2 linked regions of the Mytilus edulis genome follow. The protein of the gene in region 2 interacts with the protein of the main gene of each other region in a pairwise test. Links are inferred from orthologs where the notes say so. Each region holds a gene or a part of one and is shown on either strand. Other genes may lie near its edges.

What was found.
Region 1: the proteins of ubiquitin conjugation factor E4 B-like (region 2) and E3 ubiquitin-protein ligase CHIP-like interact in a two-hybrid assay, tested with the Caenorhabditis elegans proteins (2 studies listed by BioGRID). The link is inferred for Mytilus edulis from reciprocal best matches to the Caenorhabditis elegans genes ufd-2 and chn-1.

The regions. Positions count from the first base shown.
Region 1 is NC_092352.1:15,888,199-15,895,931, forward strand, and holds the start of E3 ubiquitin-protein ligase CHIP-like, read right to left. Parts: upstream 3,003-7,733; 5' UTR 2,910-3,002; coding exon 2,817-2,909; intron 348-2,816; coding exon 149-347; intron 1-148.
Region 2 is NC_092356.1:69,801,676-69,808,962, reverse strand, and holds the start of ubiquitin conjugation factor E4 B-like, read right to left. Parts: upstream 3,019-7,287; 5' UTR 2,883-3,018; coding exon 2,859-2,882; intron 676-2,858; coding exon 504-675; intron 1-503. UniProt on the Caenorhabditis elegans protein: Acts as an E4 ubiquitin ligase mediating the assembly of polyubiquitin chains on substrates ubiquitinated by another E3 ubiquitin ligase. The elongation of preexisting ubiquitin chains preferentially targets ubiquitin 'Lys-29' and 'Lys-48' residues.

The DNA of each region.
Region 1 (7,733 bases), on a different chromosome or scaffold from region 2:
AAATCATAATAAATGTAATTCTTGAGTTGTCATATTTTTAACAGTACTGTTTTAAATAATATACAAATGTACGTAATTTCTGAATTGACTGAAAAAGTTTTCAATTTGTATTGATTCATATACATTTGTAAACTTATTTAATATTTACCTCTCATCAAACTTGCAATAGCTTCATCGTACAAACCAAGCTCAACCAAGGCTTGTCCCATGAAAAAATGTCCCTTCACTAAAGATCTGTCTAAATCTAAGGCACGACGGCAATCTTGTTGAGCTAAATCCCACTTTTTCATTTTTAAATAACATAATGCTCTATTTGTGAAGTAAGTTGATGTATTAGGACTTTTCAACTGAAAAAAAGATATGACTGTCACTAAGGTTAATTTTCTTACAAAGTCACAAAGCAATTAATTTTTTTTTTTAGGATGAAACATTTATGATCACAATTGGTGTATAGCTGTAATGTCATTCTGTCTTCCTTTGTGATTTATTACTCAATATTTATTTTCCAATAACTGGCCTGAATAATTATTATCTTTATACAAAAGTTTTCTTCAGACTTCCATGTAATTACTTATAGATGCTTTTGCTCAAAAGGAATAACCCACACAACTTTATTCAGTCTCATTTATTTAAAGAGTATGTGACCTGTCTGTGACATTTGTGTATACCTATTATAGGGTTAATCAATAGACCTTTTCAGAGCTTTGAAGCCTTTCATGTGATCCAGCCGGAAGTCGATATGGCCCAAGTTGTTTCCTAATTTCTTGAATACATTGTAATAACAAGACATTTAGTCAAATATTTTTTTAAATATTTATCACCTTAAACATGTTAAATGAGTGAAGATGATTATGGAGTAAAAAGCATTTGTGTTAATAATGATTTTATTAGAAGTTATAACATGTAAAATGAATATTCACTTTTGTGCATGTATAACTTTTTTCATATTAAAAAATAAATTGTACCATGTATATCGGTTAAAAAAATAGCAAGTTTTCAAATGACTGATCTTAATAAGTCTTTCAACTGTGTAATTATAATACATGTAGTTCCATACACAACTGCACAAGAAGATTCCCAAGGGGATGCACACAAATTTTTGTTTTTGTCTAAAGTTTAATATAATACTACTCAAATCAAGAAATGTTGTTTGATGGATGTCATTCATTATCAATGTTGATTTTTTCCTAAAACATATTCCTCTCATCATTTATTAAATATATATGATTTTAAAAAAATACACACATTTTTCATGTGCAGTTCCACTTTCCATGAATCATAAATGTAAAAACCTATCTTGATAGTTATTATTTTTTTACCATCAGGGTTGATTAACTTGGGCAGGTCAGGAATAACCACCAATTGGTGGATTATACCTCAATTGACGAATTGACATATAATGATATAGACCAATTGGTGAACTAAATCTTTGTTTTTCAAAGCAAATTATACCACCAAAATGGAGCATTGTTTTCTTAAAACCATATTATGGTATGAAAACTTGTCACACATTCCTAGTTTAGTATAGTCACATAACATATTGCATTTAATCAATAATTGTATTTGCAGTTTCTTCTATTGTTATCTTGTCAATTCTTGATTGGCAAATTAACCACTAATCACCTGTCAATGGACATCAATACTGTGTGCAGTCAAGTGATCATGAGTACAACTCCACAGGTGAATGGAGCTCTTTGTTAATACTTGACTTTCATTATCAAAAGTCAATAGTACGAATGTTTCAACAAAAGGATTGTTGTACACATGCATTCTCAAGAGATGCAGCAGGCTTTGACAAAACTGAATCTTTGGAGGACTCAATATTAATAAGGGTCATAAAATAGGTTGCAAGTTGCAAAATCATGCTCCTAACTCACACTAGCATTTTATTACAAAAAACCTGCATTATATGGGGACGAAGTCCCCAATAACAGTAGAAAATTCAAAAAAAAAAAAAAAAAAAAAAATCGGGAAAATTTTCCCGATATTTTCATTGTACTAATGAACTCAAAATCGTTCAATTTTTTTTTTGTCAGGTTTTTGAATTTCTGGATTTGCGCAGAAATCTACAATGTACTTCCTTTTTCCGGTCTCGTTTGTATGAAACTTTGAGTAAAATATATATTTATCAGTATAGTATAAAATAGGAAGGAACACAATTCCAATTTCATTTTTGATAATTCCTTGATATGAAAAAAAAACGCAAATAGTCAAAAAATAACATAAGGACCTAAGAGCTACGGTTCCGCAGATCCGCAAATAGTCAAAAAATAACATAAGGACCTAAGAGCTACGGTTCCGCAGCTACCTGATGATAGCATTTCTTTGTTTACATTGCATATGACGTCATAACTTAAATAACGTCACAACTAAAATCCCTAACAACAGAACCAAAATCGGAAACGTTACTGTATTGCCGTTTCTTTTTTTTTAACAAATATTTAGTTACAAAAAAATAATTCATACAGACTTCGTCCCCATTTACAGGTAATGCCTGCCTCATATTACGTCAATTGGTCTATACCCATATATGTCAATTGGTGGATTATATGTCAAGAGGGGTATAATCCACCTATGGGTGGTTATTCCTGACCTGTTGGGGACAAGATTGTAGCAGAATGACATGATAGTGATACCAAGTATTTACAAATTGTTGCTGAAACACTTTCAGAATTTTTGTTTTATAGGAAAAGAACACATCCAAAAATATTCTATATTGTTTACCAGTATATATAATTTTTCAACATAACTGGTGTACCATGTTGCAGTCTACATGTACATAAGATCATTATTCAGTCATTATTTCATTCACTTACAATAGCTTTTGAATAACAATTAATCGCCGAATCAAAACTTCTGTTTGCAAAATATTTGTTTCCTTGATTTTTAAGATCTGCAGCAGCACTCATACTTAACGCTCAGAGAAAGTAAAGAAGTAAGGGGAATTTAGCATGAAATCAAGATTTTTTCCTTAAATTCAAGGTCAGACATCTACTTGTAATTACAACGAAAATTGTCCTGTTTTCAAACGTTTCTATGACTAACAAAATATTAATTACAACGACGGATAAACCATGTAAATTTCCGAAATTTTTCAGACATTCTATTCGGCATTTAAACCATACAACACAACTTCAAGCTCTAGAGAGCTCTACACCAAATATAAAAACATATACATAACACAAGAACAATAATAACAACATGCATTACATATTTGGCATCTATATGTGAGAGACCTAGTTTGCCATTTTGTACTCATGCTGTGCATTTTCATGATGATCTTGCATGTGAAGTATGATCAAAAGTGTTTCTTATAAAAAAAAAAAAAAGAAGAAAGAATTATAAAGCACTTTTAATATAAACCAATTTAGAATATTAAGGTTGATACATTGATTGTTTGTTGCTTAACGTCCAGTGGCAAATATTTCATGCATCACGATGAATATAGGCTAGGTATACATAGGTTGGTCCGTCGGCCTCCGTAAAATATCCAGCATGCCTTCGGAATATATATGTTCTATAACATATATATATATATATATATATATATAGAACATGCAGGGTTATAGAACATCAGTTGTTCGACCTGTTAGTCAAGTGCGATTTGTTTAAATATACTTTTTCACTTTTTTGGTCTTTTGGAAAATGTTGTTTGTGCTGCATTTAGACCCTTCTACAACGAAATTTGTTTTACATGCACACGTATAAAAATTGCGGTTTGTATCCAACGAAATCATAGGTTTGAACGTAGTTTTCAATTTAGACTTGTATATATACAAATAGTATTGTCAAGTATTTCAATAACGGCCATGAAACGTAAGACTAATCTTGGTTAAACTTGGAATAACATTTTATATTCAAGAACACAGAAATTCAATATTAACACTGGCATAAGAGTATGATCCACTCTCTAACCATATGAATGAAAAATCGTAAATTTGAGATGATCTGTTTGACAATTAAAACACTGAAACTGGGACTATTATACTATACTGTGATGCTGTATTTTTTCTTATGTCCACCACGAAACGGGTCAAATCTCCTTCAGTATCTGGTTTTAGAATTATGAAAAATATCAGTGTACAGCTTAGCCGATGTGCTTTGATAATCTTTGATAAAAAAAAATCATTTTTGTTACTATTGCAATATAGGGATTGTGGGAAAAAAATAAACATGTGAATATGTCCACTACGAAACAAGTATATAGTCTGAATTTATTGTGAAGACTGGGAAAATGACTAAACATATAGTGTATAGTCTAGGCTTTTCATTTTACCGATGAAAAAAAAACGTATCAACAAACGAACAAAATAGTTTTAACTTATAAAATCATATGTAAACATTTCTATCCATGACCATTCTCCTAAAAAGTTAGATTTTAAAGTTAAAGTTGTTTATCGGGAATTTGTAAAATTCGTTGATAAATTTTCAGAAAAGGATCTTTGTAAAATTACATATGCACTGCATGAGCAACATTAAATCTGATATATGTGAAGTATAAATATCATTTTTGGCATAAAAAAAAGTTTTAAAAATTTGATCCGTATGATGTAATATTATTCATCAATATGTATTTGATTGTCATTTTCCTTTTAATTATTAAATGTGATCAATCTTTATGCAAAAAATGCAGACACTTATTGACTATCGACATATCATTATAATGTACATCGTAATAACAGATGTTAACTAAGTACACCGATTACCACTACTTTCATCAGCATCCAATCTGACGTCACATTTCTCAAACCCTCTAATCGACGTCCAATGTCACTTCATGTATCATGTATTGCCAAATCGATGTCCTATCGATCAGAATCTCCTCTAATCGATGTCCAATATCTTTTAATCCCAGTATACTAATCATTATTTGTTTTCCCTATAATGATTTTTATATTTTTAAGAATGGTAGAACACTATTTCGTATTTCTGAACATTCAACCACCCAATAAACGTTTAACTACAGATAACTCGGCACTGCAACTTTGAAAACTATTTTTATTTCTACAAACTTAAAAAAAGAAGGACCAAATGTCTACCGAATGTTAAGTTATGCATTATTTCGGATACAAATACATTTAAATTGGTTCACTTTCTCCTTCGATTTAAACTTTCAATAACAGACATAATTTTACCAGTTTGTTTAACAAACAAAAAAAAATGACCTAAACATGCTTTCAACAATATTGAGTCAACTCGCTCAAATAACGAAAACATTGAGATGTGACTATTGGCGATATTCTTTGCATGGTACAAGAAAATAGTTGTGTTAGACAAAAATAGCTGAAATTCTAAGAAAATATTAGAAATTCCCAGACACAAAATATGAAATTCCCAGACAATCTATCTACAACATTTAGAGTTGTGGTCCGCATGAAAAGGGATCAGATAAAAAATATTAATTGAAATTGAAATAACAATCTGTATACTTTGTTGATAAATTTATGAAAATTAATCCATTTTATTCTTATTTTTTTTAATCATTTTTCAAATTTTATTTGGTTCAAATAATTTTTTAAACTAAGACCTGGACAGCTACTTGAGACTGGAAAAACTATGATTATAGGGCCAAATAATCAGCTATCGATTTGAAATCTTATTCTTTCACGTAAAATTGGACGCCAATTTGAAGATTCCAAATATATCAATTTACCTCGAAATATAGGAACGTGACTATCATGTAAAACATAAGAGGATGAAAAATGATTTCTTCCTTACTGTCAAAGTAACAAAATTTCGTTACAAACCTTGTGATTGAGATAATTATAGATATTCCTATATTTCTATGTTGTGTCATGTGTACAATTGTTTGTCTGTTTGTCTTTTTCATTTTTAGCCATGGCGTTGTCAGTTTATTTTCGATTTATGAGTTTGACTGTCCGTCTGGTATCTTTCATCCCTCTTTTTCACAATCTTTTCGATTCTGAAAACTAGAGGTCCTGCTAAGTTCCCTTTTAGAAAATTCTTTATAAGGCTGAGTTTAGTGGGATGATGCGAAAGATACCAAAAGCCATTTATTTTCATGAGTCGAAAATAGAACGACAACGCCATGGCAAAAAACAACAACAAAAAAAGACAAAAAGACAAACAAAAGTATACACAACACAACACAATACAGAAAACTTGAGACCTAGCAATACGAACCCCATAAAAAACGGCAGTGATTGCAATTACTACGTAAAGATAAGCATATCTTGATCCACATGTAGCACCTGTCGTGTTACTAATATGAGTACTCGAGTGTACTCTTGAAGATTTTTTTTTCTTGTATATAGTTATGCATTGATCTCAATTTAGTTTTGTTGTTGCTTTGCATTTGTCACAAGCATATGTATATGCTCATTTATTATAACTTCTTAAGAGTAAACAATATATGTTTATGATAAATGAAGTTATATATCCATTACGCATTTATTTGTTTATATTAATCTTGTTTGTTTTGTATCTCAAGTTAAAGCAGTGGTTGCATTTGAAAGCAAACATTAGACCCCAACGCAATTTGAATAATTGTTTGTTGATTTATGTTAGTCAAGATACATATTAATAACGGTCCATATGTCTCGTTATTTGTAACTTGGGTGTAGCAAACATAAATAACTTGTCAAGTGAAAAACACAATACTTCATTATTACTCAAACTTGAAGAAGACAAAAATAGATATTGTATTGAATCATAATTAAAAAAATACAAATAACATATAAACCAACGATTAAACACAGTGAAAAGGTCGCGTTTTTTTTTAAACCAAATAATAAAATGTTATTACATACCATAAAACCCACGTTTGTCAGATTGTGACATCTTTTAAAAATGAAAAATATATTGACATCCATCATCCATGCAACTCCAAGCATTTTTTTTAAATTATCAATCTCAGTTAATACTTCTATGGTTAATATATAATAAGTACATCTTTTGTGTATCTTTATAAATCTTTTTTTCTCTAAAAAAAAACCCCAACCAAACCAAATTACAGTGATAAAGAGATACACTAAATATATATCACATATTGCATATATTACAGACATGCAAAAGTAAAATAAGCAATATAGATTACCATTTAAGATTTTAGTTTTCTATGTGTGTCTGTTCCCTTTTTTTAGCCAAGGTATTGTCAATTTATTTTCGACTTATGAGTTTGAATGTCTGGTATCTTTCGCCTCTCTTTTATAACGGCAAAGGGCCTAAGTGCTGATTAATAATTCTTCTAAATTTTCATGTTGTTGAGATCAAATACATTTTTGCTATTCATCATTCAATTCAATAAACCTTTAGGAATATGATTAGTTTCTATATTTACTTTTCTATAGCTATTTATTGTCCTCATTAGATAGTTCATCTAATGTGTCTTGTCAACACTGAGGTTATATAAGTATGAACCTTGACGAACTTGGCAAGTACATTCGTTTCTAAATTGACCAGGGTTGTAGGTTGTCCTGCCGCATGTCAGGGATTCTCTCCAGGCACTCCGGCTTTCTAGATGCTAAGAAAAAAACCTACGACATAGCCAATAGTACCAATGGTGGCATTAAACACCAACAATCAATCAATCATCATTAGATACAGAACATGTAAAAATATGATGACATTCGTCTCCAAAATCTTCCGAGCTACAAACTTCAAAGTTCTATTAGTTCTTGCAATATTTTGCTATCTACCAGTCAATGTTTTTATAAGACATGCGATAGTTTAGAGTTCTTTTGGATGATACTCTTTTAATTCTTATTGACGCA
Region 2 (7,287 bases):
GAATATGAGGGCACAATGTTAGGAAAAAACACTTTTGTAATGCAATCTTTTTTAAAACAGGTCTTTTCTTATACATTGACAAAAATGAACATGATGAATAACCTCTTTGTTTTTTCCTCCCAAACTCATCTTTCTTGTTGCAGATACATGTATGCTACTTTTAGGCATTCAGCAATTTTCCCATTTGTAAAGGGGCATAACTCTAGAAAAGTTATAGTGATGCCACCAAAATTCAATCTTAATCTGTGTTTTGTGGTAATAAGCATTGTGTGTATATATATACGTGTATACGTTTCTTAACATTTGGTTGAGGCAAACTAAAGTTAGACAACAGAAACCAACTTTGGGACCTACAGACAAGGGTAAATCTTAACTCCACTACGAAAGGGGCATAAACATGTCTACTTTGTGAAGTATCTACTGATGATTTACTTGGAAGAGTTCGTATTAGTTTAGTATCTACTGATGACTTATTTAGGATCTACAATTTACTAATGACTTACTTGGAAGAGTTCGTCTCTGTGAAGTGTCTAATGATGATTGACTTGGTGTTGACTGACTTGATTGTCTTTCTGAAGACTGACTAGAAGGTGTAGACTGGGTTCCCGATGACCTGTCTCCATCTGGAGGGGTAGTCTGGTTTCCTGCTAACCTGGCCAGACGTCTTCTCCTTATCTGTTATAATTAGTGGAAAATTAAATCTCAAACCAGATATTATTTTGTTTATAATGTGATCTCTATCTGCATTACTACTGACAACCGTGTTCGATCGATGACTTGTGTCTTTAGTCTTTTTGAGCATGTTGTGTTTTTTTTGCTTTGTGTCAATTTGATGAGGTAAGCCCTTTTCAAAAGATAGTTCTCATTGACAATCATACCCACAATTTGACACAAACAGTAGTCAGTATACAGCACCTACTTGAACACTATTTAGTTCTGACATTTGAAGTCATTTGGACTAAATGTATCTGACATTTTGTCAGTATATGTACATTGTAGTAAATGTAAATATTTCTATATTCCACATCATGGACAAATGATTTTCCATCCCAGAAACCTGTGCATCAGTGGGTAATACCCATGTTTAATTAGCTGGGTCCTATATATCATCATGGATACAACTATCATTTAGCTGTTAATAAGAATCCCAAAACATTTATTTTAATCTGAAATTGACTCTGGTTTCATACAATGGTTTCAGTTAACAGGTTAAAGGTTAAAAGTCAAAAGAAACAAAACAAAAAAAAATTGATGTAATTGATCATGTGCTTGGCTTACTACATGTATGTGTTAGATCTATTTGTATGGATCCATCTGATGAGTTAAGCATTTTTCAACTGATTTTTATACAGAATGTAGTTCATTTTTATGTTGTACCGTTACACCACGGTCATGACTGTCCTAGTTGAGGGTTGAGATCACACTTACATGTTTAAACCCACAACATTCTGTTTGAATGTGACTGTCCCAAGTGAATCTGGGACCGTTCCCGCCCATTCACGTTCGCACCCACTCATGTTCGCCCCCTTTCACTTTCGCACCCCACATGTTCGCAACCAAAGTCTGTTCGCGCCCAATTTTTATTGGTTTTGTGTTTAATAAATTTGTAATCAAGTTTTGGCAAGTAGTATTCCTAAAAGTATAATTGATTTCATTGTCTCAAAATAAAGCGAGACAGCATTTTTTAAGTGTTGAATAAATCTTAATCATGTTTTTGAAAGTGTATTGTTAAAAAAAATAATATTCCTTTCTAATTAAAGTGGGATTCTGTCAATGTTTTATTTTTTGTTGAATAACACTTAATCATGTTTTGTTTAGTGTATTGCCTATAAAACTTTGTTTCATTGGCTTGTTTCAAAATGAAATAAATTTTATCATGTTTTGGTTTATATAATAGTGTATTGCTATATTTTATTATTTCATTGTTTCAGATCAAAGGGACCAAGCTGTTAAAAACAATTATCTTTTGTGTTTTTCATTTAAAATATTTAATCTTTTACTCATACCAAGCTATAAATACATTCAGTATTTACATCAAAGTAATTAAAATTAACAATAATGATTTTCCAATTATTCAACTGGAATTTAAATTAAAATTGGGCGCGAACGTGTAGAGTGCGAATGGACCTTGGGTGCGAACGTGTAGGATGCGAAAGTATATTGGGCACGAACGGACCTGATACCGTCCCAAGTGGGGAGGCTGTGATTTGGTGGATGTCATTTGTTGCTGTGTTACATATTTTGTTTCGTTCATTTGTTTAGACATTAATTAGACACCTATCACTAATCCCGGCTGACCCGAGAATCCGTGCCACTTTAGCTATTGATGTCACACATAAATCCTTTTTATTGTGGCTTTAGATATTTTGTATTCTGATGTCAAAATTTGGCTGGAACCTATGTAATGTCCAGTAATGGCGGGCATATAGTGTATTAGTGTTTTGTTGAAGGCCATACAGAGATCTATAATTTCTAATTTCTGTGTCACTTGGTCTATTGCGATGAGTTATCCTTTTTTATATATGCAACACTTATGGGATAACATTTATTTATCAACAATAAAGTTGTCACAGGACAATGAATTAGATCTTCAAGACATAATGAATTATGACATTATCAATGTCTTTTACATCTACTTCTATGTGGTTAATCTGCAACAGAAATTTCCATAATGCAGATACAGATAATATACTTAAATGGATAATTATGTGATGTAACACAAACAGTCAAAGGGTTTTAAAGAGTATTAGCCATAATTTTATACATTCACTAATAATTTCGGTCAAAACATTGAAAATAAGGAATCATGACAAATCAATTTATTGTTGATTTTTTTTGGTTTAGCTTCAATAATCTACCTCGTCTGGAGTGAGTTCACTCATTTCTTCTCTACTTAGATATTTGATTCGATTTTTTCTACCATAAAGTTCCTTATTATTTTTAAATCAAGGTAAAAGTGTCTTTGTGTTTTCTTCTTTTCCAATATGTGACGTCACATTTTAACCCGGAAGTGTTCACTGTTATTCGCAGCTTTAGACAAAGCAAAAAAAACCCGAAGAGACCAATAACGAACCCCAAAACACATTCGACTCAAATACTCCGATCTCGGATGAATATTATAAAAGGGTTTGGATCGGGTTAAATGATTAAAGAATAATACCCTTTAAAAAATGAAGATTAGAGAATAATGAGGCCATAAAATGAAGATTAGAAAAAAGGGTTAATATTTTGAAGATTAGAGAATAAAGGGGTTAATTTTTTAAAGATTAGAGAAAAAAGGGGTGACTTGAAATTAAATGTTTACAGAATAACAGACCCCCTCCAGACCCTTTTGTAAGCGCGCAATAAAAGTTTTTTTCTTATTTTTTGTTATGGAACACCACAAACAGTTGTGTACGTGTATTAAAATGTGTCACAAATCTTAATACTTATTTATATTAATATATTTCAAGTAAATTGACTAAAATAACATTTGAGTATTTGAGACAAATACCTTGTCTTTTTGTACTCCAGATTTCGATCAACTTTGGAATCGGATTCAAAAATACTTATTGAGTGGTTCATGGTAAATAAAATGCAAGCAAATCCTGACGAATTTCAAGTTTTGGCTGTTGGCAAAAAGACCTTTGAAAAGAACCCATCTGTGTATATTCAAAATTCGAACCTCACATGTGAAAAAACAGTAAAATTATTAGGCATTGAAATAGACTACCAGCTAAATTTTGATGTTCATATCAGCTCAATCTGTAGGAAGGCATCACAGCAATTAAATGTTTTAAAACGTTTAGGCTTTGTTTTGGATAGACTTAGTAAACTTACTATATTTCATACTTTTATTCTTAGTAATTTTAATTTTTGCCTTTTGGCATGGCATTTTTGCACTGAGAAAAATTTCAAAAAACTAGAAAAGGTGCAGGAAAGAGCACTCCGTTTTGTGTATGAGGATTTTACCAGCTCCTACGAGGACCTCTTACTTAAAGCTAAGGTGCCTTCCTAGCAGATCAGACGGATAAGAACAATGGCTCTAGAAACTTTTAAAATTATAAACAACATAGCTCCTGTGTGTTTACAAAATTTGGTGAATGTCAAAAAGTCTAAATATTCTTTCAGGTATGTAAATATTCTTGAAATTCCACAGGTAAAGCTAGTCAACCCGTTACGGTAAAAAATCGTTCAAATTTGCTGCTGCTACTTTATGGAACATTCTTCCAAACCATTTCAGGACTGAAAACAGGTTTTCACATTTTAAAAGTCTTGTTCAGTCCTGGAACGGTTTGGAATGACAGTGTTCTGCTTGCAGATAATTCTTGAACTGTTTATTATTTATGCTGATTTTGGTTGCTCTGGTCAAGCATGTTTTTACTTCATTCGAAAATGTGTTGCTTATTTTTATTGCATGCTTTGTATGTGAGATTTCAATTTTGTATTACAGGTTGTTTTATATATGTCAAAATACACTGTTTTTATGTTATTTATATGTTTTTATATTCGGTCAAAAGCTCCTTAGAGCTTGTGTTGCTTATTTGTACTCATGCCGAATCAAAATAAAGTTTTCTTATCTTATCTTATCTTATAACACTATATATTTATACATACCGAATCTAGGATAATACTGTTTTCAGTAAAAAGTTAAGCAGGGATAAGATTTAAATCTAAAGGATAATTTATCTAGTATAGGTTAAGGGGCTCGAGGGTATCATAACTCTTTTTTTTTTAAGATAAAGGATATCGCTATTTTATCTGTAAATAAACTTTAAAATATATACGTAATAGCAAAATAAAATGAAAACAATGGGGTCATCGTCTATTCAAGCTCACGATCTGCCTACGAAAGGCATTCATTTTTTAAAGTACTTTTTTCTGTTGAACTTATTGGAGCAATAAAGGTATAATATCGAAATAAAAAAAGAACTTTTTTTACAGTAATTGCTTAATTTGTTAAAATCACGGTTTAGTTTAAGTACAGCTTGTTTGAATTTTTTTTATAGGTCACCGATGAGTTAATAAAAGCTATTTCAATTTCAATGCAAAAAATGGCATTTTTGCACCATTTTAAAAGTCATCTGGGGCAAAAACAAATCGATTTTTGTGTTGATTTTTTTGAACCATATTTAATATGGTTGCAACTAAAAGTGTATTAATAAATAAAACTTGTAACTAAAAATTCCACTAATTGCCTGTTCAGTTTCAGGTAATTTATAGGAGAAGGATATCATTGAGATGCATATATGACAAAAGTGGACAAAACACAGATTCTTGCAAAGAAAATAACTATTGGTTCGGTAAATTTGATTTATTCTCCAAAACCCAGCTTGGAAGGTTAATATGTCATTTGCTATGTTCTTTTTAGTGAAATTATGTTAAATACATACTCACTCTGTATTCAAATACCAGTAGTGAATTTGTTATTATTATGTCAAAATCGCAGAAGGACTGATACACACCTCCGGGTGCGGGATTTCTCGCTGTATTGAAGACCCATTGTGACATTAGGCTGTTTTCTGCTCTTTGGTCGGGTTGTTGTCTCTTTGACACATTCCTGATTTCCATTCTTAGCTTTACTCCACCCTCACACAAAACGTATTATTTTTAGTAAAATGAATGTCCCTGATTTTTTCAGTTGAGTATTCGACTTTAGAAGCTTGCAAAACATGAACTGATGTTGCCTTTTTCAATCTATCATCACTATGTCAGAAAATATGTATAACATTTCTATTATTTTGTCATAAATTTGGAATAATTATGTAAAATATATTCTTGATTATTTAAACTTTACCCTTTTCTATTCAGTAATACCATATAAAAACTGTTGAAAGCTTTCAAATGAGTTTTTTTTTAACTTTTCATTCTATAATTAGTTATCAAAGGTACCAGGATTATAATTTAGTACGCCAGACGCGCGTTTCGTCTACATAAGACTCATCAGTGACGCTCATATCAAAATATTTATAAAGCCAAACAAATAAAAAGTTGAAGAGCATTGAGGATCCAAAGGTACAAAAAGTTGTGCCAAATACGGCTAAGGTAATCTATGCCTGGGATAAGAAAATCCTTAGTTTTTCGGTAAATTCATAGTTTTGTAAACAGGAAATTTATAAAATGACCACATTAATGATGTCCATGTCAACACCGAAGTGTTGACTACTGGGCTGGTGATACCCTCGGGGACGAAACGTCCACCAGCAGTGGCATCGACCCAGTGGTGTAAATAGTTATCAAAGGTACCAGGATTATAATTTAGTACGCCAGATGCGCGTTTCGTCTACATAAGACTCATCAGTGACGCTCATATCAAAATATTTATATAGCCAAACAAGTAAAAAGTTGAAGAGCATTGAGGATCCAAAAGTCCAAAAAGTTGTGCCAAATACGGCTAAGGTAATCTATGCCAGGAATAAGAAAATCCTTAGTTTTTCGGTAAATTTATAGTTTTGTAAACAGGAAATTTATAAAATGACCACATTAATGATATTCATGTTAAAATAGATTCAGGCATTTTGTAGAATGCCGTTTAATTTTTTCCAGGCATTTTGAAAAATGCCTAGATAATTTAGACATTGTGTTTAATTACTGAATCTTGCAGGTATTTTAGAAAATGCCTTAAAAGTTTTCAGGCATTTTACAAAATGCCTAAATTTAGAAAATGCCTGTAATATATACATACAAAACATTGTTGTTGACAGAGGTCTGTTCAGTAGTCACTTTATATACACTGTCATTTTATAATCATTTCATTGGCTACCATCTTTTTGTTACTGATTACCCGATATCAGTCTATACATCAATACGTGGCTATGGTACCGGTGGAACAGCATTTTTTTGGCAGAAAGACTTGACCAATGCAGTTAATATAATGCCGGATGGGAATGATCTCATTCAAGTACTAACAACAGACAGTAACCCAAATTTAATATATCTACTAGTAATTGATTTATATATGCCATCTGCCCAAATTAGTGGAGACAATAGTTTCAAAGATACACTATATCAAATTTCAAAAATTATGGATAAATATAAAGAAATTTACCAGATCATCCTATGTGACGATATGAATGCACCCTTGCATCCTGATTATAGAAAATGAAACAAAGTATTTGAAGGTTTCACAAAGAAAGGCAACAGTAAAATACCACTGTCCGAAAGTCATAAATCGATTGAGACAACACAAATCCGGGTTACAAACTAAAGCCGAGGGAATCACATCAACTATACTATAAGAGGAAAATAACAAAACAACAGAAACAATGATTTTGCAAAAAAAAAACCCCAAAAACGACAATGCAACAC